3 linked regions of the Notamacropus eugenii genome follow. The protein of the gene in region 3 interacts with the protein of the main gene of each other region in a pairwise test. Links are inferred from orthologs where the notes say so. Each region holds a gene or a part of one and is shown on either strand. Other genes may lie near its edges.

Region 1 (10,374 bases), on a different chromosome or scaffold from region 3:
TGTCATCGACTGGGAGGTAAGGGATGGAAAAGACCCATTAGCTCACTAAGGTTGTACCATCTCTCCAGGCACAACCTTGTTTGCTCGTTGCTCACTGTGCATATTGCGCCCAATTATATCAATTCTCCACACGATTAAGCCATCGTTAGGCAGGGCAGGTGGAAATTCCCATGGGGGGGAGACTCCTCCCACCTCCATCCCCACCGAAAAGTGCATTGTCATCCTCTTAGATGCTGTAGTAAACTAAACATTTATGAAGGGCCTACTAAGTGCAAAGCTCTGCGTCAGACCTGTCTGGAGTCTTCAGCTACAATAGCACACGACGGAAGGGAATTTAGCCCATGCCGACTTCATACTCAAGAAAAAGAATTAAAGTCTTAACAGGAAAGTCAAACCTCTGGCCCCTTTCATTGTTCTTTCTTTCCAGAATAAGAGGAAAGTAAAGGCAGGAGGGGAGATCCTCTCCTCCAGTATTCCATAGATAAAATACTGAATTTGGAGACAGTGGATCTGACTTTAAATCACAGCTCCGCCATTTACTAGTTTGTGTGACCTTGAGCAAGTCAGTTCTTTAGTTCTCAGTCTCCTCATCTGTGAAATAAGGGGAGGGGGGAGATGAAGTAGAAAATCTCAAAATTCTCTTTAATGCTAAATTCTGATGTTCCAATATTGACCCTAAATAACATAAATATGGTCTCTGGGCCATCCTGAGGAATGAGATAATTGCATTAATCTGGTTCTGTGAGTCCATTTTGGGACAGAAGGATCTCTTACTTGATCCAACCCACTTGCTGGAAAATTCACTTTTCTGAACACTGAAGAAAGAGCATCATGTGGTTTCCTTTTACTTCAAAGCACTAGACAGCAGGAGCAAGCCCAGTTCTTTGTATATCTATCTCTACCACAGACAAACACACATCCCAGCCCCAGCCTTCCCCTCGAACCTACTATTCCCACTATACAAACTCCCTTTTCAAAGCTGCAAATGCCAGTGGCAGCTATGAAGGTCTAGTTGGCAGAGTAAAAGACACAGAAGGCAAGATGGTGGGGGGAGGCAGAAAAGGAAGCCACACCAGACCCTGGGAAATGGAGAGAGAGAGAGGGAGAAATATGCAAATGGAGAGTCGCCTCAAATCCCTAAACCCATTAATAAGGCCCTGAGCAGAAGCAGCTGGTGTCTCATCGGAGGCAACTGGCCAGCTTTTCCAGAAGGGTGAAGGGAACAATTCAGGGAAAAGGAGAAAACACAAACACACACACGTTTCTCCCTGTCCATCTCCCACTCCCCTTTGAACCAGCCAGGTGCTTTTTTCACAATGAACTAACAACAGCTGGGGGGAGACACCAGGGCTCCCAAGATAGTAAATCAGCAACAGGAGATGCCCTGAGACTGAAGGGGCCGGGCTGCGCCGGGCTGGGCTGGGGGGCAGGAGGGACACTTCCATCTTCTCTCCTTTGGAGCCAAGCTCCAAAAAAGTGGTTTTTGTCTCATTTTTCATCTTAAGGGTGATGATTGCTGCTGCTCGTCTAGCCCCCCAGGACGGGGCAGGAGGGTCAGAGGGTCCCTTCCTACTTCCCCGACAGCCAGCACCCAGAGGCTGGCTGAAATGTCTGACGAGCAAATTCATGAAGTCATGAATGAATGAATTCCCAGGCTCTGCTCCTTTTCTGGCCAAGAAAGCCTTCGGATCTAGAAATAAAAGCTTCAGATCTAGAAAACCCTACTAGCAGGAAGGGGGCGGGGAGAAAAGAGTGCCCCCCAGCTGTGGTTGGGGGGTGCTATGAGGCTAAAGGTGTGTGAATGCCTCACCCTGAGGCCCCCCATTAGTCTTCTACATAGGGTCCCCACCCCATGTCCTGCTACACGAGGACCCTCCCTCCCAGGCCCACAGAAAGGGAAACCCCGCAGGCCCAGCCCGAGCAGGGAGGCATATGAGGGGGCGTTACGAGGTGCGTGAGTTGGGGAGGTATCCCTTAGCCCTCCCAAAATAGTGCACCAGCCTGGAGAGAGGGGCAGGCAATCTCCCCATAGAAGAGGGAGGGGTGAGGGGAGAGAAGAGAAAAAGAAAAGCCCCACCAGGGCTTCCCACTTCGCGGCTGCCACCTTCCCCCGACACCCCTTAGTCTTTCAGAGAGACTCGGGGTACAGGTTTAAACACAACCTCAGGGCACCCCCCCCCAACTGCGCATGCGCGCTCGCAAGCTTTTTCTCTTCCCCCTCCCCACGTTCGCCGGTTACAGTTCCAACGCGGAGCCCAGCGGCCGGAGTGCGAGATAACGGCCAATGTGGGGTGGGGGGAGGAGGAGGGGAGAAGGAAGGGAACTCCGCCCCTGCCTCCTCCGGGAATGACGTCAGCGCTCCTCTCCCCGCCCCTCCCCTCGCCCTCGCCCTCGCCCCCCAGCGGCGCGCGCGGCCAGGGGCTAAAGCCGGGCTGGGGCGGGCAGCTGGCCGGGGTGCCGACCGGCTTTAGGGATTTCGCTTCAGGCTGTGGCTCCGGGAGGAGAAGGGGAAAGACTGGGGGGATGGCCCGCGGGCAAGGCACCCACGGGGTCCAGGAGTTGCAAGAGTCGCACGCACGGCCTCCGTATTCTCACCTTCCAGTGCAGGCGGGATCCCCGAGCGGGCGCCACGTGCAGGGCGAGGCTGCCAGCGTACCCCGGCCCTGCCCTGAAGGTGCCCGGCCTCCATCGCGACCAGCCCCAGCCTCTAGACAACTAGTCAATCGATGCATTTCCATTCAACAAGCCTTTATTAAGCTCCTTCAGGCACCCAGGGCCGGGAGGGGTAAAAATCCAAAGGCCGCCGCCCTCCCTCTCTACTTGTAGCAGCCACAGATGTTCCTTCAAGCAAAAACCTGGTCCCCCCCTCCGCCTGAATGCGGCCCCCTCCGTGCTTTCCGACAAACTGGCACCCGGGGAGCAGTCTGCTTCGGGAGAATTCTGAGCACGTGAACACTCACTCAAAATCCTGTGTCAGGGTCTCCTGGTGGGACCCCTGCCAGGCTTTCCCCCCTTTCACCTTCTGCCGAGCTCTCTGAAAAAATCCCCGTTCCTGGAGGGTGCCAAGGGCTAGTGCAGACTTCTTGGCTTTCCCCAAACTGAAAGGGCTTCAGGCAGGTATCAGTCACCGACACTCCTTCCCTCCCTCCATGGGGACCTGAGATGGTTGGAAATGTTGTGACTCCGTTCTCCAAAACGGTGAGGAAGCTAAGGGACCTTCCAGCTCTGTTTCATTCTATGATTTGTCATTCCTCTTCCCCGTGTGGACAAGAGAAATGTTTCCTTCTAAGAACAGCCCTGTGGGGCAAGAGATTCAGGGTGGTGGCAGCGGTGTAGGGACGGATCAAGAAGTCCCAAATTGTCTTATCAATCCTAAATCTTGGTTAAGAGCACCCCCATACACACCCCATTTAGACGAACCAGGCTTCCAGCATCTGCGGGCTGGAGAGGGGCAAGGGCTCTGTCTTTGGGTCCCCAAAGCCTAGCTTGTCATCCGAGGGGGACGTAACTCCTTTGGTGCTCCGGGGTCCAAGGTACACGGAAGTGAGCTAAAAGCTGAGAGTGGAAAGGGTGGGAGGGTGCTCAGAGGAAACCAGAAGCTAAATCCCATTTGGGAAGAGGGGTGTGGTGAAAAGCAGGATAGTAGGTGGGAGGGGAGGCACAAAAAGAGGGGAGGGGGGAAATCCCCTAGGAGAAAGGGGCTTGGGGCCAGAGGGAGCCCTCTGGTGCCCAGTGGAGAAGGGATGTCCATGGTCTGACCAGCAACCAAGGCCAGCAGACCAGACCTGAAGAGGGAAAAAAGAATAGGGAGAGGTCCCCTGCCACTTTTCGGATCCCTGTGCATGGCAGGAGAGAGAGGAAGGCAACGGAGGGTAGGGACTCAGGAAGACAGCGGGCTGTGGGCTCCCCAGGTGCGGGAAAAGTGGAAGACACTTCTTGCCTCTCAACAAGCTTCCCAGAGTCCATGGGTTCAACCCTTCTCTCTGCCTTTGAAGGTATAAGCTCCGGGGCTCTGCCTTTCTCGGGCTTCCCCCACCCCTCGGCTCGATGCCCCGTAATTCAGTGGTGCATCTCTCTGTCCCCACCCCCACCAGTCCCCGGAATAGCCGTGGGTCTTCGCAGCCTTCAGCAGCCTGCCTTTCCTCCATCCTGTCAGCCCTCCTAGGAGAGAGCTGCCCCGGGACTCGGCTGCCATCGCCCGCATACTCCGATACAGGCATCCCGGCTCCCCTTCCTTTCCCCTTTCCTGCACTCCCTGCCCCGCCCGCATCATCCCCGGGTGCGTCCAACCCAAGCTCGGGGGCTTTCTGCCCAGCTTCCAGGACAATTCTTCAGCGAGTGCTTTCCAGCGTATTCCCCCCTCCCCCCAGCCCTCCTGGTCGGTCGCATCCCTCCCTTCCCAGCACAAATTCACAGCGCTTCCAGCTACACCCCGCTTGCTCAGTGCAACGTTCAGAAGCCAGTCCGGTCCGTCCCCACCCCCCTCTCGTGCAGAGCCGCCCCCCCAGGCATTGTCCCGGTGCCTTCCCCCGGCTCCTGGGTGCAACGCCCCAGCTCCCATTCGCGAGCACAGCAGCCGGGGCACCGGAGCATCCTTCCAGCTCCACACAATGCCCGGCTGCGCCGGTGCCTCACTCCCCGGCTCCCTCACACAATGCCCGGGTGCATCCCATCCCACGCTACGGCGACTCCATCGCCCCCCACCCCCTTCCTCCTCGACCGCCCCCCGCCCCCATCCCCGGGGCTCGGGCTGAGATTCTACCTGGTGGCTGGCTGGGCTGGGCTCCCCCGGTTCTTGCCCCCCTCACATCCTCGCAGGAAGAGGCGGCGGCGGCGTAGCATTTAATCCGTCTGGCCCCGGCGCTCTCCCAGGCAAGCCAGCCCGAGCAGCAGAGCAGGCAGCGGGCGCGCGCTGGCCGGGGCTGGCAGGGATCGCGCGGGCGGGCGGGCGGCGCGAGGACAGACACTGCGGCTCGCGCTCTCCCAGCAGCTCCAGCTCCCCACAGCCGGTGATGTCATTCCATTCCAAGAGCCGATGCCTCCGCCGCCGCCGCCGCCGTCGCCGCCGCCGCCGCCGCCGCCGCCGCCGCCGGCCAGGAGCTGAGGGGGGAGGGAGAGGGAGGGCTCGCGCGGCTCCGGGGAAGGGGGGAGACGAGGAGCCCACGAGGGGGCGGAGCCGGGCCGTCCCTGCGTCACCGCGCAACACCTCGCCACCAAACCTCCCTCCTCCCCTGCCCCCTACTGCCAGCCAATGGGAATAGCTGACTTCTGTCACGTGGTGATCAAAGGACCGAATTGTGAGTTAAAGGGCTCAGAAGCACGTGGTGCTCTCTGGAGCAGGGGCTCCAGGGAGCACGTGGTGATCCCAGTGGCGATAGCGCAAGAGGGCCTGTTAAAGGGACCCTCGAAGCGCCCATGTTCTCAGGCTTGGATCTCGCTTCACACAATTGTAAATGGCTTTCTTGGAATCAGCTTTCCCCTCTGCCCTTTCTGCTATTTTCAGTCTTAAATTTAAACACACACACACACACACATTTAGCTATGTAGCAAGCACTGTGAGGGTGTGAGGTTTGTAAAAACAATAGTGCTGTCCACAGCCCTTACCCACCAGGATTTGTGTGAGGAGAGTACTCGGTAAACCCTGAGGCACCAGCAAAAATGGAGCTGTCCATAAAAAGCGTGTCATCAAGTATCCAGCTAAAGCCCTGCCCAGATACCTCATCGCGGTGTGGAGGTGTCCCAGGACTCTGGAACACGATGCTAGGAGCGTAGGCTCTCAGTGTCTACCGGTGCATTTCTGGTGGCAGGCTGGGTCTGCTCCCCCAGGATCAGCCCGGGTATGAAAAGGCTCATCGCCGGGAGTCTGCCTACTCACTAGGTGATCATCGTCGTCCATGGCAACCCAAGAAACAAAGAAAATCAAAAGATGCCCCCCCACTCACTCCTACGGTCATGGTGTTGGAGAGGCAGAAAAGACAGTGAGAGGGTGCAGAAATTCAGAGTTTCTAGACCATCTCTAAATGGGAGATCTTTGTGCAATGAACACTCACATCAACAGGAATATTCTTTATAGAAATTCAACTAGCAGGCAGCAATAGCTACTAAATGGAGATACAAGGATAAAAAAAGACAATCCTTGACCTCCAAAGAGTAAACACGGGATAATTTTCGTGAATACTTCCTTTCGTAATAACAATAACTTATTATGATAGGGATATACTTCTCTGGGCCCTAGAGAGTCTAGGTGCCTCCACTGTATGATCTCTATTGACTTTTATAATAATGCCTCTGAGGCAGGAATTACAGATATTATTATTCCCATTTCACAGATGAGGAAACTAAGGCTCAGAGAGGTTAAATCCCTCATCCAAGATTATTCAGCTACTGGCCAGAAGTGGGATTTGGGCATGTGTTACTGACTCCAAGCCTAACATTCTATCCAGTACAGCCAAAGGAATCGACTGACTAAGAACAGGATTCGAAGGTTCTGGAAGGGGTCATATTGAAGGCAAGGACTGGGGTTTTTTTTGTTGTTTGTTTTGTTTTTGTGGGTTTTTTTGTCTTTCCCCAAGCATATAGAACAGTCTGATACCTAAATAAGAGCTTAATAAATGCCTATTGACTGAGTATCAAGTAAACTCTCTCTCTCCCTCTCCCCCTTTCCCTCTCTCCCTCTCTCCCTCTCCCTCTCCCTCTCCCTCCCTCCCTCCCTCCCTCCCTCTCTCTCTCTCTCTCTCTCACAGACTGAATTTGATTCTTTAAGAACAGAAAAGAAATGACTTATTATTGACATGGGAGTCACTTCAGAATCAACTGTCTATAGGTAGTCAGTTAAAACCAGTCGAGAATCAGAAGAAAGAATGATAATGGTAGGAAGATTGATGATAATGCTGATGCTGGAGAATATGGAGAAGCACAATGGTTCTGTCTGCAGTACAGGATCCAATTATAATAGCTTCAACCTGAGCTATTCAAATAAAATGTTGACACTGGAAAATAAGAAATGGGAAAAGGTCATATTGACTTTGATAATTACCATTTCCACAGAAGTTTGAAGAAGCAGTTCATGTAAACTGATGAGAGGCATAATGGCATTATGGATAGAGATCTGGCCTCAGAGTCAGGAAGACCTGGGTTAAAATCTCACCTCTGTGATGTGTGACCCTGGACAAAGTCACTCAACCTCTCAGTTAACTCTCTAAGAATATGCTAAAAAAGAGTTGTGATCTGCATTGATGAACAGTTTTCTTATTAGGATTCCCCCTACACTAATGAACCCATAAGTCCAACTAGTCAATTCAACAAGGAGGACAAAAGAGACAAGATTATTTTAGTGAGAAAATACTGGATTTCCTTGCTAATGTATACCAAGGGCATCACGGGTTTACGGTACAAACACATTTGTACATTTTGGAGGACGATAGAAGAAGTCTGTAAGTCAGAAGAACTTCATACAAAACAGTGAAAAGCAGCATAGGCAAAAATACATCTATAGAAAGCTTGGCAGGAGGCACAACCAAACCAGATCATCCCAAGAGCATTTATAGATAAAACTGGGAGGGGAACAACAAATAAATGATAAATGGGAACAGATTTGTCATTGTTTCTACAAAGGATCTATTTTCATCATTTTTGAGAGCAAAACCAATACAGTTGGACTTTACTGCCTTTGTACTTGATGAAAAAGAAATGGCATTTAAGAAGATGTGTTTTGTTTAAAAAAATGGACTATATATATGAGTAATATATATATAGACCATATAAGTGTGTGTGTATATATATATATGTATGACCATATAAGTATATGCTAAAAAAAAAAAAACCCATGCTGGATGTGGCTCAGTTTTGAAAGACTTGGGGGGGGGGGGGGAGATAATTTTATGATGTCTCTCAGAGTGAGGAAGATTCAAAAAGAATGGATAGAATCATGGAAAATATTATTATTCCAAAAAGGCATCAAGAAGACACTAATAACAGTAATGACAACAATAGATAGTCCTTAATTTGGCTTTAAGGTTTGTAAGGAGCTTTACATTTATTAATTTGTTTATTCTTCACCACGGACTGTGCAGTAGTGCTGATATTATCCTCATTTTACAGATGAGGAAACTGACTTGCCCAGCATCATATAGAGACAGTATTTGAGCTGACCAAGTCCCATGTTCTCTCTACCATGCCACTTACTTTCTTGTCTCTATAAAATCTTCGTGAGAATAATCTACCCATGGTGTTAAGGGTATATCATAGTCTACATAATTTTTCCAATTTATGTTTATTGCTTTCTTTGATAAAGAAATCTCTAGTTTTTTTGTGCAACTAGTATTTAGTGGGGAAAGAACTAATTGGCAAGTGTGGAGCCCATCCCATTGGCCAGGTCTGAAAATATTTATCACATTCTGCATCATGTGTCCATTATATCTCTGATAGTAAGTCAATGGCACACCTTGTAAGTCTTCTGGGCTACTGTGGGTCATTACATTGATTAGAATTCTTAAGTTTTCCAAAATGATTTTTCTTTGCAATGTTGTAGTCATTGTATAAATTATTCCTCATATTTCAACTCATTTCATTCTACATCAGTTCATATGTGTTTTCTCATGTTTTGCTAAAGGCATACTTTCGGTTTCTTATGGTTCAATAATATTCAATAATATCTTATACCATAATTTGTTCATCTTTTCCCTAAATGATGAGCATCCCCTTAGTTTCTGGATTTTTTTGTTGGAACTATAGCTTTCCTTTAATCTTCAATCTCTTTGAGTATATGTCTAACTAGAATGTCAAACAGTATGCACAATTTAATAACTTTTTGAGTTCAACTCCAAATTGCTTTTCAGAATGGCTAGTCCATTTTCCAGCTCTATCAACAGTATATTAGTGTGCTTACTCTCCCACATTCCCTCCAACAATTATAATTTTCCCTTTTTTGTCATCTGTGAGTCATCAGAGTTGTTTTGTTTATTTTTATTACTATTTATTCATTGCATTTTCATATGATTATTGATAACTTAGATTTCTTCCTTTGAGAACTAGCTGTTTATATCCTTTGACTATTTATTTTGTTCTTATATTTTAAATCAGCCTTCTATACTTTATGGATATGAGACCTTTCTTTATAGAAGAATCTTGTTTCACATATTTTCCCCAGTTAACTAATTTCCTCTTTAATTTTGCCTGCATTAATTTTGTTTGTACAGAGGACTTCAAATTTTATGGAATCAAAATTTTCCATTTTTATGTCTTGCGATGCTTTCTGTCTCTCAGTGATCAAGAATTCTTCCTTTATCCATAGCTGCAAAAAGTATCTCCATCCCTATGCCTCTGTAGTTTTCTTATGTTGTGACCTTTTCTGTCTAAGCCATGTAGCCCTTTGGACTTTGTTAAGTATGTGCTATGAGATGTTAGTCTAAACTTGATTTCTGCCAGACTGCTTTCCAGTTTTCCCAACAGTTTTTGTTAGAGTGAGTCCATGCCCCAGTTGGTTTACGGAACATTTTACTACTATATTCATTTGCTTCGTAGCTTGTATACCTAATTTGTCCCATTCATGAACTTTTATATTTTTCAGTCAATACCAAATGATATTGATGATTACTGCTTTGCAGAATAGTTTGAGATCTAGTACTGAGAGGCTTCCTTTCTTCTCATTTTTTCTTTTCATTATTTCCTTTGAGATTCTTGACCTTTTGTTCCTCCAGATGTTTTGTTATTATTTTTTCTAGCCCTGTAAAGAAATCCTTTGCTGGTTTGGTTGTACAATAGCCTAATTCATCTCCCTGCCTCCTTTCCAAGCCATCCTCTGAACAGTTGCCACGGTGACTTTCCTAAAGCACAGTCTGACCATATCAGTCTCCTATTCAATAAAGTCCAGTGAACCCCTATTGCCTCTAGGATAAAATGTTATTTAACCTTTATCCTATTCTTCAAAAATATCTATTTTGTGTAAATTTTAAAATTAGTGGCCATTTATGTAAAAAGACTATAATTGATAATTACATATACATACATACATACATACATACATACATACATACATACATACATACATACATACATACACAAATTGGGAATGTATGCTATTTTTTTTTTCTGGTAGGGGTATATAATCAAAAAAGTTTGTAGACCACTTCCCTAGACTATGGCTTGTCTAGCCAACTAGCCAATTAAGCTCATCCATATTAATGTGTATCTAGGACAGGACTTGAAGATGGACAATGATTAGGCAAAATGAAAGAGACAAAGAGCCAGAAGAGGCTCTTCAAAGTGAGTTCAGAAATCAGATGGTAAATGGTGTAAAGACTTTTCTAACTGATTGAGTACAGCTGCCTAAGATGGGGAGGCTGTATTACAAAAGAGTGAAAGGTGACCCTTAGG
Region 2 (10,374 bases), about 480 Mb from region 3:
CCTGCAGACAAGTCCTTAGGCCCAGTCCTTTGCTCTGCTCCATACACACCAACTCCTAGGGGCTGCACTCACTCCCCCCTCACTCCTTTACTCCAGATAGTTAGGGTTCTGATTCAGGGGCAGCAGAACTTAGCTGAGTGGTATGTTTCTAATGTGCCACGTGGATACGGCCAGAAGAGGCACCAGTAGGAGCCTGGATTGCAGGGCTTGCAGGAAGTCTGGGCCCCAAGGTTTCCCAGCCAAGGTGGACAGGCATAGAGAGAAGCACCGATTTCATCAGACAGGGCTTTATGTGAGGCAGCTCAGCCCCCTACACCCCAAGATGTGCAGAAGCAATCTTTTCTTCTGATCCGAGCCCATGTCCCCAAGAAGGACCCTAGGAACTCAAGTTAGATCTCTGGGCCCTGAAAAAAAAGCTGGCTGATGGGATATCCGGCTGGACCTCTGTCAGGGATCTCAGAAAGATCAGGGCTGATGAGGACAAGAGAGGCCACAAAAGCCTGGAGAAGAGCAAAAACTGACCTAAATCAGAAAATAATAGGTCAGTGTTCTCAACTCTAATTGCTGGGAAAATTCCAAAACAGAACATAAAGGGATGGCCGATGATTATTTAGGAAAGGAAGCAGTGAGCACAGAGAAGCTGCCTGGCTTCAGACAACAGGTCACACCGGACCGACCTCCATTTCCTCCTGTGACTGAGATGGGGAGAGAAGGTGGGGGTACCACTGTGTGCACCCATGTCACTGTGTGACATCTAGTAAGACTCTCATATGATTCTAATGAACAAACACTATGGAGAGCACTACATAACAGCAAGAGCGGGGGGGATGTGGACCAGGTCAGATGGCCTCTCTGAAGAGCAGTCGTTAACAGAACAAGGCCAGCCTGGGGAAGGGTCTGCAAGAGAGGGCCCCAAGACCACCTTCTCAGCCAACCTTCTCAACCAATTCCCAGCCAGCACAAAGCTGGGAAGCTGATATAAAGCAAGCTAGAATGCTGGACTGAATCTAAGGCGAGAGAACTTAAGAAGGCCAAATGTAAAGTCTATGGCCTGGGTTCAAGGAATCAATGTCACAAGTAGAAGGGAAGGGGGGGAGGGTCTGGCTAGGCAATGGAGTGCCTGAAAACCTCCTGGGGTCTGAAAGGACCACACACTGGCTGAGTCATCAGTGGAATGGGGCAGGCAAGCACCCAAACAGGAATCTGGGTGGTTCAATTGGCCTCCAGGAGGAAGGGGAGCATGCCTCCATGCTCTGCCCTGGATAGGCCTTACCCAGAGGCTGGTGCTCAGGCCTGGCGTGCCATCTAAATATCAAGAGCTGGGAGTAGAGGAAGCTCAGGTTCAACAGGTGCCTAAAAGGAGGGAGCTGTGTCATGGGAAAGAGAGATCAGCTTTGTTCAGCTTGGTTCCCTCAAAGGCAGAACCAGGAGCAATGAGGGGAGGTCACACACCCCAGGAAGGCCAACTCAAACTGGATGGCAGGAAAACTTCCCTCACCATGACACTGTCCCAGAGTGGGGCATTCCGGGCTGCCCGGGGAGGTGATGAGCTCCCTGTCCGTGGAGGTCCCCAAACAGAGGCTGGGTGTCCACTGGTTAAGAAGACTGCAAAGTGTTTCCTGCTAAGCCTGGGGCTGGACTCAATGTCGCCAAAGTGCCTTCTAGTTCTTGGACTCCTAAGAAGGACAGCCCTGGGAATCTTCTCTACAAAGAAGGAAAACTGAGGTGGTGGGGAGTGTGGAGGAGGAAGAGAAGGCATCCGGGCCTTGGGGGGCGCTGAGGGCCCAAACGATGAACCGGCAAAGGAGACTTAAAAGGAGTTATCAGTCAGGAAGGAGGGAGCCCAAATGATCAGGATGGAGGGGGATGGGGCAGGGGAGCTTGTCAGAGGGAGGAGGAGAAACAAAGGGCTGCCCACTCAAGAGAGGACTGCGGGGTAGAACTGGAATGTCCAAGCCCCTGACACTGCAGACATGGGAGACTCTGGGAGGCGCAGAGCTGCACATACTAAAAAAACTCTGGCTGCATGGGAAGGCTCCGGGTCAAGGCAGGGACAGACCCCGGTGAATGAGCCACTCAGACCAAAGGGAGCAGTCAAACTTTAAAAAGTAGGAGTCAGCAGGTAGCATGGGGAGAGAAGCAAATGGTCTGCCGCTGGCTAGGGGGATGGCAGAGTCCAGGAAGGGTTTGTTCAGCACAGGGAACGAGGCAGGGTCAAGAGCCTGGGGAAGAGGCTGCCTCCAGATGAGAGTAAAGGAGGGGATGATTTCAGGAGTAGAGGGTTAAATGGAGAAAAAAGCCTTCCCACAGGGGAGGAGGTGAGGGTCTTCGCTGAGGGAGTAAGAGGAAGACAGAGTTGTGGAAGACCTGCCCCAGAGGTGGGGAGAGCCCCAATGAGACAAGGGAAACGAGAGTGGGCCCAAACACCCTGGGCCGCTCTGGGAGGGGGATCTTCAAGCACAGCTGGGACAATGACAAAAAGACTCTTAGGTAGGTGGGGTTTGCACTCGGAGCCTCTGGGGTCTCTTCCAAGCCTGAGCTTCTACAAATGTGCCCCCTGCAGTCAGAGCCTGGCACATAGGCCTCACAGGGTGACAAAAAGAGCACCTAGTCGGCAGCAAGGCCCGGGTTCGAAACGTGGCTCTGCCACTTCTACCTTAGCTGCATGGCTCAATGGGAAGAACGCTGGGCCTGGAGTAGGAGAACCCGAGTTCAAATGCAACCTCAAACACTGATGAACTGTGTGACCTTGGGCAAGTCAGTGAACCTATTTGCCTCAGGTTCCTCATCTGTGACAGGGACATTATCACAGCACCACCCTCCCAGGGTCACTGTCAGGACCAAATGACATCTACACAGGGCACAGGGCAGATGCCACGGAAATGCTCATTCTCTCCCCCTTCCCTGTGCTACCTCCCCAGGCCTCAGTTTCCTCATCTGTAAAACAAGGGGGCTGGACCTGAGGACCTCAGGGGTCCCTCTCAGCTCCTGCCTGCCCTCCCCATCCCTCATTCTTCTATAGGGAGTTCTCCACAGACCTGGCCCCTCCTCTGTCCCTCCCTCATTCTCAGGGCACCCAGAATCGCTTTCTACCATTAGAACATAAGCTCTTTGAGGGAAACAGCTGTCTTTCTGCTTTTGCTTGTTTCCCTTGGGCTCAGCACAATGCCCTGCACACAGCAAGCACTTAATAGAAAGTTGTTGCCTAACAACAGCCTCTTCTTTCTGTTCACATGTACAGCCACCAAAGTGACTGCCTGCAGCGCAAGTCACTTTCCTACTCCATAAACTTCCATGGCTCCCTCCTACTCGGAGAAAGCAAACACACTCCCTGACCCTGCCCAGGTCTGGGCCCCCCCCCCGTCCCTCCCACCATGGGGGCCTCTGTGCCTGGCAGGGTCCAGAGCCCAGCTGGGCTGGACTCACCTGAGTCTTCAATCTGTCACTTCTACTGCACAGATGCCTGAGAGGCCAGGGCTGGAGCTGGGAGTCCTCGGTTCATTCCTGTAGAGATGGAAGGGGGCAGGGGAGTTAGGTCTCTGGCAAGCAAGGAAGCCTGAGGTTCCCAGCCCAGAAGATGGAGACGGAGGAGGAGGAGGACCTGGAACATGAGGTCCCAGAATGCAAGGCCATATAGTCCATACTCCTTCCATCCTGGGGGACAAAGGGACACTCAAATCTGACAGTGGCTCCCCTCCCACTCTCCCCATCACTGGGCACCAAAAGAGGTCACAGAAGAGCAAGCTCTGGCAAGCCAGAGCTCACGCTCCTCAGGGGGGGATGGGACTGCTTGAGTCTGAGGCATGCCCACCTCATCCCCCAAAGCAGCTTCAGGAAGGATGGCCAGCAAGGCAGAGGGACACACTGAGAACCTAGGGGACTCTGTGGCTCTGTCACTTAGCACCAAACATCCACAGCCTCTGCGTCCCTCATAAGTTCTCCTTTCTGTGGGCACTGGTCTTCCTCTGCTGGACATCTACACTTGTGCACCGCCCACACAGCCATCTACCTCAGCCCCAGGCCTGCTGCCTATGACTTACAAACAAGCCTGAACAGAGGCTGGTCCCCACTGGTCCCCATGGCCTGAGGACAGAGGTTCCTCCTCACCTCTCCCCCAGAAAAGCCCGATTCACTTTTCCTGAAAGTCACTGCCTGTGGCTCCAGCTATCCCAGGATCAAGTTTTAGACAGGCATCCAAGATACCTCCCCAACACACCCAACATTGGCCCAAAATAGGCCAAGATCCATCTGTCCATCGAGTGCATACAGGGTTCCTTCCCACCTCCATGACTTGATTCCCCCACTGTCCCTCCCTACCTCATCCTCCAGAGCCCAGGGCCAGTCCTGGTGCAGTCCAGCCCTCAGCCACCAGGCTAATGCACTGCTAGGGTCACCCCGCCTAGCTGGCTGACCACCAGGCAGCAGGCCCCTCAAGTTCCCCTGCATTTGGATCCAGGCACACCTGCCCTCCTCAGGCCCTAGACAGCAGCATGTGGGCACAGCCTTGGACTGGCTCCCAGACCCTGTGCTCTACAAGGTGACTCAATCCCTGCCTGCCCTCAAGAAGCTTTGATTCAGGTGGGGAGGTCCACAAGGAAGATGGCACAAAGGAAGAGGGAGAGGGGACAGAAGCAGCTGAAGCCTAGGGGACTTCATGGAGGAGGGGGCATGAGTTGGGCTCCAAGGGTGAGAAAGTAGCCGCCACCACAGCTGTCATCAAAAGGTTTGTCGAGCTGAGCCGCCAGGTATTTTAGTCTCATTTTGTAAGTGAGGCCGATGAGGCTCGGCAAAGAGTTGCCCAGGGTCACCCAGTCACCAGGAAGTGTCAGAGGCAGAGTCCAATTCAGCCTCCTTCTCTGGACCACAGGCAGAGTGGAAAAGGGAGGGAGCTGGAAGGACAGAGTCAGAGGCAAGGAAGTCACCAGAAATCACTTGGGAAAGTGAAGTGGGAGGCCTGGCTTGGAATGCCAAGCCCAGAGGCAGTACTAGGGAGCCACCAACTTCATGAGCACAGGAGGGACGTGACATGGTCAGACCTGTCTGTTAGGCGGAGGAACCTGGAAGCAACGGCAATTCTTCTAAACCTTTCTTAACTTTTAGTGTACAGTAAGCACTTAATAAATGCTTAAAGGACTGACTGACTCCCAGCAGCTACTACAATAATTCAAACATGAGTTGATGAGGGGCCACACCTGGGTGGGGTGGGGGACAGTGTTGAACAAGAGAAGGGGTGTATTCAGGAGATGCTTTGGCCAGGCTTGCAGGGCGGGGGCTGAGGAAGAGAGAACAAGGAAAAGGGCATCAAATGTCCCTGCTGGGGAGGCCAGCAGAGGGGGAGAGTCTGCAGAGAACCCAGCTTCCTGGGGAGACTCTGGGGGTCCATGGGGGGAGGCTCCACTGACCCATATGACTTTCTTTGGTGAGGTCACTACACTAGAAGCTCAGAAGGATGCTCCAGAGCTGAGCAAAGGGTGATGGCAGAAACAAGACACAGGCAGACAATGCTGCCTGGGAAGAAGGATGGACAGCTCCAGCAGAGCCCACCTGAGGCACTGACTTGTACGGAGACCCAGAGGGCATCCCAACTGAAACAGCAACAGAGCCAAAAAAAAAGGAGGGGGGCACAGACTCTGAATCAGGAAGGGCTCCGGAGCCCATCAAGGCCAGGTGAGGTCACTGAGACCCAGAGGGTCACGCAGCTAGAAAATGCCAGGTCTTGGTGACTCTAGGGCCTGCCTCTGCCCACTACTCCACACAGTCCAGGAGGGTGATGGAAGGACACTAGGAGAGTGGCACTGAAAGAAAGTGTGTACACGGGGGTGGGCCGGGGTTGGGAGAGGTCGTGGTCACGCCAGGGACCTCGGGTCACTAGAAATGTAAAGTCCTCCGCCTGGATTAAAAAGGCACCAGAAAGTACAAGATGAGAGGGCAGCTCATCTGAAAAGGATCTGGAGCTCTCAGTGGCCACTGAGCCCACAAGACGGCCCGGCACGTACTGTTCAGCAGGGGAGCAGGACCCACAGCACTGGAAGGGCGAGTTCCCTGGCCCCCGGAGGGCGCACAGCGTGGGGGCTGGAGGTCCCGGGCCCACTGAGGACCCTCTGGTCCCGGGGGGCAGCGAGCTCCCCAGCCCGGCTGCTGCGGTCCTGGGGCCGAGGGGCGGGAAGGAGGCAGAGCCCGCGCGGGAGGGTGGGGGGGTGGGGGGCCCTCCCCCCCCGTGGCCCCCTCCCCCTCCTCCCCGTGCGCCCCTCCCCCCACAGGTAGCCCAGGCCGGTGGGGCGGGGCCGGGGGCGGGGCCAGCCGGGCTGGAAAAGCCGGAGGGGCGGCATTCCTGCGCGCGGGCGCCGGGGGGAGGGGGCCCCGAGACAGACTCCCAGAGACGCCCCCCCCAGAGGCAGGGAGCCCCTGTCCCCACTCCGCAGGTGCCCCGGGGGGGAGGGCCTCTCGCGGGCCCCGCCCGGGCCACGGCCACAGGGCCGGCGCGGACACGCGAGGGGGGCCCGGAGCCCGGGCGCGCGCTCGCGGGGGGCGCGCACAGGCGGCGGGCGGGGGGGGGGGGGGGTAGAGTGACCGGCCCGGATCCCACCCCCGCGAGGCTCCCTCCCTCCCCTCCCCACCGTCGGCGGCCACGGCCACGGCCCCCACAGGGGACACGGACGCGGGGGGCCGTACTCACCCGCGCTGCTGCTCCTGCTGCTGCGAGCCCCCGCGCCCCCGCTCCTCATGGCCGCCCTGCTCGGGCTCCCCGCGCCCCGGGCCCCGCGCCCGTCCACCCGCCGGTCCGGCCTCCGGAGCGCCCACCCAGCCCAGCCCAGCCCGCGAGCCGAGCCGCCGCCGCCGCCTCCTCGCCCGCGTGCCCGGCGGCCGTGCGCGCCCCCGCGTGCCGTGCGCGCCGCCGCCCCCCGCGCGCGCTCCCTCGCCGGCGGAGGCCCGGGGAACGGGGTCGGTGCGCGCGGGCTTCCCCGCGTGTGTGCACTGGGCGCGGGCGGGGACCTCCCCGCGGCGTGTCGACCCGGGCCTGACCCGCTGGGGAGGGGGCCGGGGCCGCCCCCGCCCGCAGCCCCCCGAGCCCCTCCCCGGGTGTCCCGCACTGGTCCGAGCGAGCCCTGGCCCGGCCCGGAGGGCTTCCCCAGCGGGGCCACGCGGCCCCGCCTGCCTCGCCCTGATCGGATCCCAGGCCGGGAGCGGGAGGGCTAGCCCTCGTGGAGGGGGCGGGGTCGTCACCTGGGCCAGGTGCGCCCTCTTCCCGCGGCCCCTCGGTGAGCCGGGCATCCGCCGGAGTCTGCAGACAAAGGGCCCCGCCGCCCGGGAGGAGGTCGGCCCGGCCTTAGGGGCAGCAGGGCCGGGCCGGGTCCGAGCCCGCCCCGCAGCCCGGGCGGCCTCAGGGGCGGCAGGGCCGGGCCGGGTCCGAGCCCGCCCCGCAGCCCGGGCGGCCTCAGGGGCGGCAGGGCCGGGCCGGGTCCGAGCCCGCCCCGCAGCCCGGGCGGCCTCAGGGGCGGCAGGGCCGGGCCGGGTCCGAGCCCGCCCCGCAGCCCGGGCGGCCTCAGGGGCGGCAGGGCCGGGCCGGGTCCGAGCCCGCCCCGCAGCCCGGGCGGCCTCAGGGGCGGCAGGGCCGGGCCGGGTCCGAGCCCGCCCCGCAGCCCGGGCGGCCTCAGGGGCGGCAGGGCCGGGCCGGGTCCGAGCCCGCCCCGCAGCCCGGGCGGCCTCAGGGGCGGCAGGGCCGGGCCGGGTCCGAGCCCGCCCCGCAGCCCGGGCGGCCTCAGGGGCGGCAGGGCCGGGCCGGGTCCGAGCCCGCCCCGCAGCCCGGGCGGCCTCAGCTCCCCGGAACGTGATCCCGTGCGCCTCAGACATGACTGGTCCTGGGCTCGCCAGTCCTCTTTCTCTCCCCCGACCTAGGGTGCGGGCTGCCGGTGCCCAGGTTTCCTTCCCTCTTTCACAGACCCTCAAAGGTTCCCATCAGAGGAAGGCTTCCTCCAGCTTTAGAAGGTCTAAAATAAATAATTAGCCAACCAAGGAACATTTATTAAGCACCTACTCTGTGCTAAAGCACTGAGGGTACAGTGCTTCCCCATCTCCTCCCCCCCCCCCCCAGTCAGAATTACCTTCGACGCAAGCTAATTGACAGTGAGCTGGTGAGGGGCCACGAGGCACCAGCAGATTGCAGACTGGAGGGGGTGTAGGTGGGAGATGAGGAAAGCCTTGAGTGAGGCACAGAACACGCATTTATTAGGCACTGACTGTGTGCTAGCCACTGTGCTGAGTAAAACAGTCCTTGGGGGAAGTCAACATAAAAGGAGGCTGAAAATGGCATGATAGATAAAATCTGGAGAGAAAGGATACAGGCAACAAACTTACAATAGCTGAGGTCAGAGGGGATGAGGGCCTGGTGTGAGAAACGCATAGCCCAGTAGATATGGAGGGTGAACCAGAGGAAATGGGTCCCACACGTCCATACAATTCCACCTCCTTCGGTCCAGGAGGCCTTCCCCTGGGTGAGGTCCAGGGCTAGGATGGAAGCTGGGACTGGGCCTAGAGCTCAGATGGGAACTCCCAGGAGAGGAGACTCCTTTTCCAATGCAGGCCAGCACTTCTCTGCATTTTAGAGAGAGACTTGGGGCATTGACTGATAAAGTGAGCCAGAAGGTGCCACAGGCTGCTCCAGATCCAGGTCTCCTGTTTCCAGCCTGGCTCTCTGGATACTTGGCTACAAGACAAAAGTGAGACAATCCCTGCCCTTGGGGCAACTGTATGCCAAGTAGATACAAGGAAGTTGGGGGGCACAGTCCCACAATACCCCTTGCTTCATTGTGATGCACACACATCCTCTCCCAGCTCCGGAGGGGAGGGAGGAAGGAGGAAGGGGGCCGAACACAGCCTTGGCTTTCACCTTTTTTTGTATTCCCAGCACTTTGCACCATCCCTGGCATACAGTAGGTGCTTAATAGATGTTTATTGACTGACTGATTTAAGCCCAAGGTCAGGAATAACTTTCCAAGAATGAGAGCAGTCCCAGAGTGGAAGGGACTGGCTCAAGATGTGGTGACCTCCCTGGCCTTGGAAGGGATCTCCAAGCAAAGGCGGGAAGCAGGATTGGGGGGATGGGTGGGGGTGAATAGCTGGGTCTGCTCTGGCTGTGAGGGCCAGTTGAGGACACGTTCCCAGGGCCAAGGGGGTGTGTGTGCGGTGGGCTTCTGAGGGAAGGGTTGGGGTCCAGGGCCTGAAGCTTCCGGGGAGAAAGGCGGAGTGGGTTCAGGGAGGCTGCCAAGGGAGGTTGGTGGGGGGAGAAGAGGGATCCCCGAGGGGTTTATTTCCGGTTGAGTTTTGAGTCCCGAATTCGCAGGTGGAGCGTGAGCTCCCTCTCGTGTCTGTGGAGAGGCCAGGCCGTTCGGGCAGCAGGGGCTGGAGGTGGAGAGGCCGGCGCCAGGCTGCTGGGTGGCACAGGCAGCATGGGCACCTGTGCGCAGGAGAGGGGCACGGGCACAGGTGCGAGCGCATCAAGTGCAGCCGTGGAAATGGACTAGACTAGGCGTGGGCATGGTGGGCGCTGTCGAGATGGGGGGTGGGGGAGTGGCTCCACAAATCCGCCCCTGCGATGGGGGTAGGAGGCCACGGATGCGAGTGCATCAAGTAGGCGCTGTGCCCTGGAGGGATGGCTCCACATACCCACCCGTGGGTCGCCCCTCAGAGTAAGCGGCAGCTAATTCTGATGTCTGCTCTCCTCACCCGCGGGACTGCCCCAAGGTCTACCTCTGAGGAGGTTTGGGGAGAACCCCAGACACTCCTTTTGCTGTGGAGGGACCTCCCAGATGTGGGAGCCCCAGCGGGTAGAGGAGCTCCCCCCCCCCCCCCCCCCCCCCCCCCCCCGACCTGCCCCTTCCACCTCTGACAAATTTGTGTGGCCTGGAGTCAACTTCCCACCAAATCCCCCACCCTCCACCCCATCACTAATGGTCAGTGTTTGTGTGGGGCTTCCCAAGCATTTTGCAAATATGATTTCCAATTTTGTCCCTACAAGAACCCTGGGAAGTCAGTGTTTTTATTTTCCTCATTTTACTGATAATGAACCTGAGGCAGACCCAAATGGCGTGACTTGCCTAGTAAGCATCTGAGGCTGAATTTGAACTCTGTTCTTCCGGTCCAAATCCACAGCTGACTCATACCACCCAGCTGCCTCTGGGCTTAGTTAGGACCTCGAGTCTGGGGTCACAGGTCTCACCTGAAGCCAAGGCAGGCAAGCAAGGGTGGGATGGATTTGAATCAGAAGACTGGGGATTTTCGGGTTACTAGGGCCACTTCCACACTAGGTATTCTCCAGGGGCAGATTATGGGAACATCTGGGAATTCCTGACCCTCCTCTGTTAATTGGGGCAAAGG
Region 3 (10,374 bases):
TCACAAAGATCCTGTGAGCTTGGTGCTATCACTATCTCCACTTTACAGGTGAGGAAACTAAGGCTAAGAAATCTCCATGCGACTGACCTACGACCATCCAGCCAAGCAGTGTGAGAGGCAGAATTCACACTCAACCCTTCCTGACTTACAAGCGTTGTATCCATTACACCACCAGCTGCTCCTGATGACAGTAAAAGCTAATGTTTTGCTACTGTGGCATGCTGCCATACGGTATCTTTCCATGCCTGTACTGGATTCATCATTTCACGGGCACCTCCATTAATACAATCCTGAACCAGTAACATAGAGCACGTTATTTAAGATACATAAAATGATGAGTCCCTTGCCAACTAAGAACCTGTTCGTTCTGATTTTTCCGTAAATCTCTTACTTTTAAAAAGTCTAATTACAAGAGAGAAGTGACTGATTTCATCAGTTTCGAGTTAAGTGCTGTGTCCAGGGTCACACAGCTCATGTCAGAGGCAGCCTTTGAACTCAAGTGTTTCTGATTCCAAACCCGGCAATCTATCCACTACGCCAGGCTGCAATGTGGCATTACAACCACCAAGCTATGTGGCAAACCATGTATCTTGAGCAACAGTGAGCAAAACTGAGTACAACCAAAGACTCTGCCAAGGTGGTGCAATGACATGCAAGTGACTATATTCTCAAGCTTTATATGAATGAGATTCTAACAGCAAACATAAAATCTTATTTTTAAATATCCTTATTATGCATCCTAAAAAAGGATATAGCACTGACATAAAATCACTGTTGCTAAAAAGGAAAATCCAGTGTTTAGTTTATTAGAAGTGATTAAATGCATTAAGGACAGCAATAATTCAGTGGTTAATCACTACCAAAACTGCATAAAAGGATGTTTACCTGGACACATCCTAAGTAAGAAGGCCCATCCCAAAGAGAACCACCTAGGTCATTCCCCTCACACCACATGTCCCTCTCAGAGGCAAAGAGATCTTTAAATTCACTCTCCTGCAAACCCCATTATTTTATAGACAAGGAAACTAAAGCTCATGAGATGATGTGATAGGCCCGTGTTCATGCAGCTTGACACATGAATGGGACTAGAATCCACTTGTGCACTGAGGTACAGACGTAATTTTTCCTGCCCTTCTTGATAGTCAGGTTATTATTCAACACTGACACTAAAGGCCCTCTGACACTTGCCCAAATGTAAAAGATTAAGTACAAAAGGAAAAACAGTAGCCTAAACTTTTACAATTCTAGTCTCCAAACCCAATTTCCCTCAAGGGTCCCCTACAGTTCTCCAGCCCCAGAAAGAGAAACCCAGCTGAGATGATTACAAAAATGCAAATTTCTGTTAAGTAAATATTCATTTTTGGATTATCTTTCATGAGGAATCTAAAGATACTTCCTCACAAGGGAAAAAAAATCCCACAATCGAATTCAAGCTGGTTTCCAGAAGTGAAGCTAATGCAGCACAGGCATTGCCTGTGGCCACAAGTCCACTGCCCAATACACTCTCCCCAAAGAAGGCTCTTCTCTCCATGGTCAGCATCATGTACTGTGACTCATCCTCCCAGCATACATTCTTTGTGCACATACTTACTACTACTGCTGCTGCTACTACTACTACTACCACCACCACCACCATTTAAATAGCACTTACTGTGTGCCCGGCACTGGGCTAAGCACTTTACAGATATTATCTCATGTGATCCTCAAAACAATCTTGGGAGACTGAAGTTAAGTTGATTCATTCATTCAATAAAAATTTATTAGGTGCCTAATATGTGTGCCAGGTACTGTGCTGTGTTGGGAATACACAGTCCCTGCCCTCAAGAAGCACACACTGCAATAAGGAGTTGAACACACTAGGATCAGGAGGGACTGGAAAAGGCTTCCAGTGAAAGGTAGGATTTTATTGGAACTTAAAAGGAGCCAGGAAGGTCAGGAGGTGGAACTGAGGAAGAGAATTCCAAGGATGAGAGTCAGAGAGAATGAATGACCACAGCTGAAAGATGGAAGGTCTTGTGCATGGAACATCCAGGAGGCTGGTGTCACTGGATCAAAGAGCACAGGAAAGAGCAGAGTGTAAGATGAGAAAATCAGGAGAGGGCTAGGCTGTGAAGGGCTCTGGATGGCAAACAGAGCACTTTGTATTTGAAGCTGCAGGTGATAAGGAGCCACTGGAGTTGACAGAGTATGGCTAGACCTGCATTTAGGAAAATCCCTTCAGTGGGTGAGTGGAAGAGGCACTGGAGTGGGGAGAGATCTGGTGCAGGCAGACCCACTCCATCCCAGTAATTACAGCAAGAATCCAGGCAATGAGGGCCTGGAGGGGAAGATTGTCAGGAGAGAAGGGGGCATATTCCAGAGATGTAAAGGTGAAATGGACAGGCTTTGACAACTGGCCAGGGTCACAGAGTTAATGAATATCTGAGGCTGGATTTGAACTCAGGTCTTCCTGACTCTATCCACTGAACTATTTATTCTCCCCCCCTTCTTAGTTTACATAAATTAGGTATTTTTTAAACCATTCTATAATTACCATTATCACAGGAACAACACTTCTGAAAACAGCCATAAAGTTTTTGGTTCTTCCTATTCTAAGCTTACGCTCGTGATCACAGTCTACCATCTGAACTACTCTAATAACCGAACTGCCTTAAGCCACAGATCCCTCTGTCCACATGCAGTTATAGGAAAATATTTACCAACGGTGCAAACTCGTAAGTGCCTTTATCTTCATTAGTCATTCTGGAAAGGTTCCCCATTAAGTCAAGAAGCAGAGATGTAAAGGGGCTGACTAGAACATTTCCCAGTCACTTTCCGAGTATTTTTCTTCAGGTCATCATGTTTCCAAAGTCAAACAATGAAGGATGGACTTTGGTGCACTGGTGACTGAATAACAACTCAAAACACAAAAACCAAGTCTGACCCCCATGCAGCTACTCCCCAAATTCACATGTGCAGAGGGTGCTGGTGGGAGGGAAGTTCAGGCAGAGCCTGAGGCAGGCAGGCACTGCAGTAACCTCACCCCAACAGGACAGATGAATAGTCACAAATTAGGAAGGAAAAAGTCAGGGACGGGGCATATCTGAGAACCGTCAGATGTACATTTAGAGTCTTGTTTGGTTTTACTTCCAGTGAAGGGCAGAGAACAGCCTCAAGAAATTACCACCACACGTGGTCCCTGATGGACCATTTCATAGATAGTACTGCAGATTTTATTTGAAATTTTCTGACTAAGTCACACCATGCAAAACATTTAGCAAGATCAAGGTTAAAAACATTCATACCTGTGGGAGTGCAGTATTGAGCTGTCTCTGCAAGGAATCTCTTTCATGGCCAACCTCATGCAACTTCCCCTGAGTCAAGGCAAGCGTTTCTTGAGTCTCTCGAAGAGTGTCCAGAAGACGATCTCTTTCTTCCAACATGGACACCATTAATTGTTCAAAATGTGAATCAGCATCTGGCTGTAAAGGGGAACCAGAACCATGGCTTCCACCTCCTCCTGGGGGAATTTCTGCCTCACTGATGGTTGGCATCACCTCGCACATCATCTTGAAATAAAAATTCAGACCATAGTCATTAAATGCAACTCTAGAGTCCAGAAGCAATTTAGAACAATGTGCAAACTCAATACATCATCACAAGTTAAAATGGAAAAGCATATTTTCTTTCTGGCCTTCTTAAGAGTAATGCTGTCTCTAAGTGCTACACAAACATGATGTGAACTGGAAAAATCAGAACATCCACCAGACATCTAAAAGCCAAGAACTCTAACTGAATGAACGTAGAAAAGATTGGTATGTGCTAAAACTTGATCATCACCTTTCATTAAAAATATATAAAAAAATTTTTAAAAAGGAAACTTGGTGACCTCTTAAAAAGCAGCATTTTTTCTTAGTTGCTACTTTCTTAAAAAATGCTCTTTCATAGTTTCTAGTTCCTGGTCAAAGAAAGCAACAACCCACAAAATATACCTGGTACCCCATCATCTTTCAAGATGCCAAAAGAATAATTAATCGATAGAATGGACAAGTGCTAAACCCATCAAGGTCAATCCAGGAATACGTATGGGCTACTACTGGAGAGGACAGGTAGAGGTCCAAGTTCTTGCACTGGACTTGGTGACTAGAACAAAAAGAAGCTAAATTATTCAACAGCTGGGAGAGCTTTGGACCGCAGTAACCACTCAGCCTTATGGGGATGGGCTACAACAAACACTTAGTGTGTAGAAACAGTGGATCAACATGGTCACAGAGAAAAGGGGACAGAATAAAGACGAATGGCAAAATTTGAGAATACCTCTCAAATATTAAGGGATGAGAAAAAACGACTTTTAAACAGGATTTGAGGAAAGCAGGGAAATCACGGCTCCTCTAGCCCAGGGCTTCTTGGTCGTGCCCAAGACCCCATGAACACCGTGCAGCCCTTCTTGGACGGTTTTGAAATGCATTAAAGAAGATAATGCAGAGAAAAGCAAAGAAAACATACATTTTGCAAGTTCCCTGCCTCCGGCCCCTGAAGACAGCTTTGGTCCAGGAGTTCACAGGAATAAGTCCCCCTCTCCGTCTCACACATGCTACAGTATCACCGCCTGATACAGTATCGCACCAACAGACAGGACCAGCCGCCTTTCTGCCCGGGGAGAGCTTTCGGGGTACACGCAGGATTTGTATCAATACTCAATACACAGTTACGAAGCGCCTCCTCCGCTCCAGGCCCCGGACAGAGAAGTGAACTTGCGGCTGCCCCGGCGGGACCAGGAAACAGCAGGAAAGTCAAAGACAAAACACCCCCTCCCAGCTCGGTGGTGCCAAGTCCTTCCTTCGGGGGCGGCGGAGGAGGAACCTCCCGGGGACCCCCCAACCCCCGTCAAGCCCCGGCCGGGGGTCAGAGGTAAAATCAGAGCCTTCGGCGAGGTCTCCAGGAACACAGCAGGCACTTAATAAGTGCTGACTGTACAAGGTCTCCGGCCCGGCAGCGACGCCCCGAGGAGAAGGGATCGCTGGACCCGATCCACCCCGGCTCGGCGCCCTAAGGTGAACCGTCCGACCCCTCGGTGCCTCAGTTTCCCCACCTCCGCGGGGGACGCCCGGCCCCCACTCCCCGGTCCGAGCTTGCATCCCGGCCACGACGGGGAGCTCCCTCCCCGCCGCCGCCCGGCACTCACCTTGGCTCAGGGCCCGAGCCGGCGCCGGCGCCCAGACGGAGCCCCCGAGAGGAGCCGAGGCCGCGCGGGGAGGAGGAGGGAGGCTCGCGGCCGGGGCGGAGGAGGAGGCTCGCGGCCAGGCCGGAGCCCGGGCCCGCTGCCCCGACCCCCGACCACCGACCCCCGAGGCAGGCCGGCCCGCCCGCCCGCCTGTCCCCCTGCCCGCCTGCCCGCCGCGGCCGGACCCAGGAGCGGCGACGAGTAGGAGGCAGCGGCGGCGGCGGCTGTGGAGGAGGAGCGGCGGGAGCGGGCCGGGCCGGGCCGGGACGCGCGTCATCCGCGTCATCCGCGCGTCATCCGCCGCGGCGGCGGCGACGTCCTGGCGTCACGACGTCCTGGCGTCAGCGCCTCTGCGTCGGCCCGCGGCCGTCTGCGGCTGCGTGCGTGCGTACGTGAGCTTGCGTGCGCGCGCCTACGGGCCCTTCCCCTGAGCTCCCGGGGAGAGCCGAAGGAGGAGCCCGAGCTCCCGGAGGCGTACGCGTGCGCGGAACTACCCAGGTGTAGTTCTTGGAGTGGAAAGGCAATTCACGCCCATCGTCCTCTACCCCGCCGCCCCACCGGGATGCTAGGGGGACGTGCGCGTGCGCGAAACGACTCACGCTTACTTTGGGAAAGGAGAGGGAAAGGTAGAGGGAGACTCTGGGACGCCCGAAGTATGCGCCTGCGCGGAACGACCGCGGCGTGGTCCGGCGGAGAAGAGTGTGGGGCGACGTCTGCCGATGTGCGCGTGCGCCAACAAGCCGGCGGAGCGAGGAGCCCCGCGGAGACCGGGAGAGGAAGAGATGCGCGAAAGAACCTGAGGGAATAAGGAAAAGAAAGATGGAGGAAAGAGATAGAAAAAGAGGAGGCGGAAAGGAGGACAAATAGCGAAGGAGAAAATGGAAGGAAAAGAGGCAAAGATGGAGACGGGGGGACAGGACCGGGCCCAGGGAGCCCAGGAGGACCAGAGGAAAGAGAAGGGCGCCATGGGCCTGCAGAGCCTCCGGGAGCGCCCCCCACCTCTGCCTTCGTCCTCCGGCGCCCGGGGCCGCTTCCGGTCCCCGAGAGATCGTGGGGGGGGCGATGCCCACTCGGCATCCGGACCCCCGGGGACTGGAGGGCCCGAGACGCCCCGGCCCGGTTCTGCCGCTCCCCCAGGGGATGAAGGATGAAACACCTACAAATCCTAGAATTGGGAGGGTTCCTACTGCGGACCCCCGGGAGTAGGTCACGTGCTTAACTACCTGCACTAAATGGGATCATTATGCAAATTAGGGTAGATGTTTCCCCAGGAGACGCGCGGTCAGATTTGCATGATACATTAGCCCGCGGGACTTGGGGCAAACCCTGGGCTCCCCACTAAGGAGAAGTAAGGAGTAGGGTGAGCGCTCTGTCCTGTCTTCATTCCTTTACGGTGGGACTCAGCTGAGAAAACAAAGCAAAGCTGAGCCAATTCCACCCGGAGAGGAACCCTAGAAAGCACCTAGCCCGAGCCCGTCATTTTAGAGACAGGAAAACTGAGGCCCAGAAAGGAGGAGGGATCTACAGTGTCCGTCCCACGGCTGGATATTCCCTGGTACTCGTCTCACCCTTCCTTCTGAGACGGGAGAGACAGTGGAAAGAGCCCTGATTGCAGTCCTGTCTCATGCTGAGCACTCCTGTGACCTGCAACAAGTCACCACCCCCTGGGCTTCACTGTCTTCCTCTTTAAAACGAAAAACTTGGAGTAGGTGGCTTCTGGGTCTGCTACTCCACGATACTGTGATCCCAAGCTCCACCTCCGTCGTTCCCCATTAGGTGCAGGATCCTGGAGGGCAGAGCGCTGCATCCTACTTGTCTTTGCAGCGGAAAGGTCTCGCACCCTTGGTGCCTGCATACAGCAGGCGCTTCATGAATGTCTGTTAATGAATGAGTTTAGTGAGTAGCAAAGCCGGGTCTCTGAATTTCCAAACTGGTTCTCTCCCCACTACAGAGCTCTCTAGGTATTGCTTGGGGGCAGACTAATACAATTCAATCAATCGTTCTTTAAGCACCTCCGAGGTGCCTGGCATCCTAAACTGGATGGGGATACAAAAGGAGGAAAATGGAAGCTCCCTGCCCTCAGGAAGTGCACAATCTAAGAAGATATACAACTACAAAATGCTTCCTAAGTAGCCAAGTTCAAGGCACTTGAGAATATAAATACAAAAAAAAAAATCCTCCTTAAGGAGTTTGCATTTTACTTGGGGTTAGGAGGACAACTTGTAGCAAATAATTAAAAACTAAAAACCACTTGGTTTTCTGGACAGCCTGAAGGGGAGGGGAGGGGGATCAGCAAAGGTCTCCTGTAACCTCAGGCACCAGAGTTGACCCTACAAAGAGGTCAAGGTGAGGACGGAGGGGGAGCACACAGCCTCCCGGGCGTGCACAGGCATGAACACTGGAGAGCAAATGTTGAGTTCAGTCAACAGCGCTAGGCTCAGTTTGACCTGCCCATCAGCGTGTGAACAAGAGTAAGATGATGTCCGAAAAGCATCAGGGCCACGTTGGTGAATGCCAGGGTGAAGAGTTTAGATTTGATCTTAGAGACGATGGGAAGCCACTGATGATTTTGGATGGGGGGGGGAGGGGCGGTGTTGGTGGTATGATCAAATACGTGACAGAGAATATTAACTTAGCCACCTTTTGGAGAATGGAGAGGGCGGAGTTTGGAAGAGAGGTGACCCATGAGGTGGTTGTAATCTCAATGAGGGATGGTGGGAATGATAGGGTGAGATGTCGGGGAAAGAGAACTGACCAGACTTTACAACTGATTGGATAAAGAAGTGGAATGAGTCAAGGAGGACTCCAAGGTGGCATCCCTGGGTGATTGGGAGGATGGAGAGTGGAGGAGGGATGACTTTCTAGGAAATAGTTCTATTTTGGGCATATTACGAATGAGATGCTGATAGGACATCAGGTGTAAATGTCTATTAGGCAGACTGGAGTTAAGATGACAGGTAAGGGCTGTGTATATAATTTTGGGATTCTTCTGAATAGAGATTTCAATAGAACTCACAGAAGCAGTGAAGAGGCTGATTGCTATAAGTGACTAGAGAGCCAGTCTTCAAGTCAGGAAGACAACTCCAAATTATACCTCAGATAGATATCGACTGTGGGACTCTAGGCTAGTCACAACTTCTGAGTGCCTCTTGGCAACTCTATTAGTTGTGGAGAAGGTACTACCCTAAATGGGTGGGCTAAGTTTCTTCACCTGGAAGTTCCCTTCCTGCAGAGATGAAACCATAGGTCCTTTTGCTTTGGGAGCTGGTGGGCTTTTAAGGACAATGTCCAGCAAATAGGAATCCCAGGACAGAGCCTTATAGGATACCCAGGGTTAAGGGGATAGAGCCAGATGATGGCTTTTCAAAGGAGAAGGAAGAGCATATTGTTGAGTTGTCTCAGGTTAGATGGTGAGTTCCTTGAGGGCAGGGATTGTCTTTTACCTTTTTTTTTTTTTTTTTTGTATCTCCAGGGCTTAGCTTAGTGCCTGGCCCATAGCAGGCACTTGATAAATGTTTATCAATTGATAATTTTGTAGTCTGACAGATAGGAAAGGCAAGGAAGAACAGGACTCAGGTAGGGGTGAATGACTGAAAAAGGATGAAGGGAGCGGATGGGGGTGGGAGGGGAGCATCGAATTTAGCAGTTGAGATGCTTGAGAGAGATAAGGAAAAGGAGAGAGAAGAGAGGAAAAGATGAAAGGAGGAAGGAGAGAGAGAAGGGAAGGGAAGGGAGGGGAGAAGAGAAAGAAGAGGGAGAGAGCAGTTTTAGTCAGGTGATGTGGTCAGAAACTAGACTACAAATGGCCAAAGAGTGCATTTTAGGGTTAGGGTTAGGGTTAGAATCCAGGACAAATACTTATTCTATTAGAAGTGTGAACAAAATTTAAGGAAAGATTTAGGCTAATAGCTGGGAGATCTGGAAGGTTCAATGAGCATTAATCCTGGTGGGAGGGCTTTAGCTGGGCCCTGGGGTACCCAAGGGTGACAGACAATTTAGTGCCTGCCCTTAAGGAACTTACACTTTTGAAAGGAAATAAGATGAGGCATCTCCCCCTCCTAACTCTTTCCAGCATCTGAGGTACAGGAGAACTTTCGAGCCCCCTGGGGGGAGAAGCTACTTAAAACCATCAAGCCTTATCAACAAATCACTTTTACTAAGCACTTGCCTCCCTTTGGGAAAGGGATAAGAATACGAGTGGTGTATCCAAAACCGAAATGGTTCTCTTACTGATGAGATCACCAAGTGAAAGGGTAGAGAGAGAGAGAAGGCCCAGAACCGAAGCCTGAGGAACACCCCTGGTTGGAGGGCATGATCTGGAGGAGGATCCAGCGAATTATCATCTCTAAACTGATGATTCTCAAATCCACCTTTCCTGCCCCAACCTTTCTAGTGAGCTCCAAATTTACATCTCCAGATGTCTTTCAGACATCCCGTTCTGGATGTCCAGTAGACAGCTTAATGTCCAAAATGAAATTCCTTGTCTTTTCCCCCTCCTTCCTTCCCATCCTCCCAGTCCCCCAGGTTCTGAACCTGGGAGTCATTCTGGACCCCTTACTCTCACCTACCATATCCAATGTGGTGCCAAGGCCTGTGAATTTCACCTTTGCAACAGATCTCAAATGCATTCCTTTCTCTCCTCTGACATTGCCACCACCTGGCAATTGGACTGAGGCAACAGCTGCTGGTGATCCTGCTGCCTCGTGTCTCTCCCCACTGTAGCCCATTCCCCATTAGGCCACCAAAGGCAATTTCCTAAAATGCAAGTCTAACCATGTCCCCCTCTCCCACTCATTAGACTTGGACATCCCTTTCACCTCCAGGATCAAATACAAAATATTCTGCTTGGCATTCTAAGCCCTTCCCGATCTGTTCCCCTCCTACCTTTTCAGTCTTCTTATACATCTTTGCCCTACATATATGCTCCAATCCAGTGGCACCAGCCTCATGGCTGTTCCCAGGACAGGAATCTCTGGAATATAGGCATTTCCTTGGACTATCTCCCCTGCCTGGAATGCTCTCCCTTTTAAACTCTACCTAGGCTTCCCTGGGTTCCTTTAAGTCTCAGCTAAAATCCTGTCTTCTCCAGGAAGCCCCTCCCAACTGTTCTTGATTCAGAGCCTTCCCTCTGCTGATTCTTTACTGTTTAGCCTGTATATAGCAGGCTTTGT

Evidence for each region.
Region 1: the proteins of PPFIA1 (region 3) and PTPRS interact in a two-hybrid assay, tested with the Homo sapiens proteins (2 studies listed by BioGRID). The link is inferred for Notamacropus eugenii from reciprocal best matches to the Homo sapiens genes PPFIA1 and PTPRS.
Region 2: the proteins of PPFIA1 (region 3) and PTPRF interact in a two-hybrid assay, tested with the Homo sapiens proteins (2 studies listed by BioGRID). The link is inferred for Notamacropus eugenii from reciprocal best matches to the Homo sapiens genes PPFIA1 and PTPRF.

Annotation. Positions count from the first base shown.
Region 1 is NC_092875.1:73,000,121-73,010,494, forward strand, and holds the start of PTPRS (receptor-type tyrosine-protein phosphatase S), read right to left. Parts: upstream 5,043-10,374; 5' UTR 4,763-5,042; intron 1-4,762. UniProt on the Homo sapiens protein: Cell surface receptor that binds to glycosaminoglycans, including chondroitin sulfate proteoglycans and heparan sulfate proteoglycan.
Region 2 is NC_092873.1:504,995,289-505,005,662, reverse strand, and holds the start of PTPRF (receptor-type tyrosine-protein phosphatase F), read right to left. Parts: upstream 6,766-10,374; 5' UTR 6,677-6,765; intron 3,505-6,676; 5' UTR 3,427-3,504; intron 1-3,426. UniProt on the Homo sapiens protein: Possible cell adhesion receptor. It possesses an intrinsic protein tyrosine phosphatase activity (PTPase) and dephosphorylates EPHA2 regulating its activity.
Region 3 is NC_092873.1:22,487,323-22,497,696, reverse strand, and holds the start of PPFIA1 (liprin-alpha-1), read right to left. Parts: upstream 5,299-10,374; 5' UTR 5,165-5,298; intron 3,549-5,164; coding exon 3,285-3,548; intron 1-3,284. UniProt on the Homo sapiens protein: May regulate the disassembly of focal adhesions. May localize receptor-like tyrosine phosphatases type 2A at specific sites on the plasma membrane, possibly regulating their interaction with the extracellular environment and their association with substrates.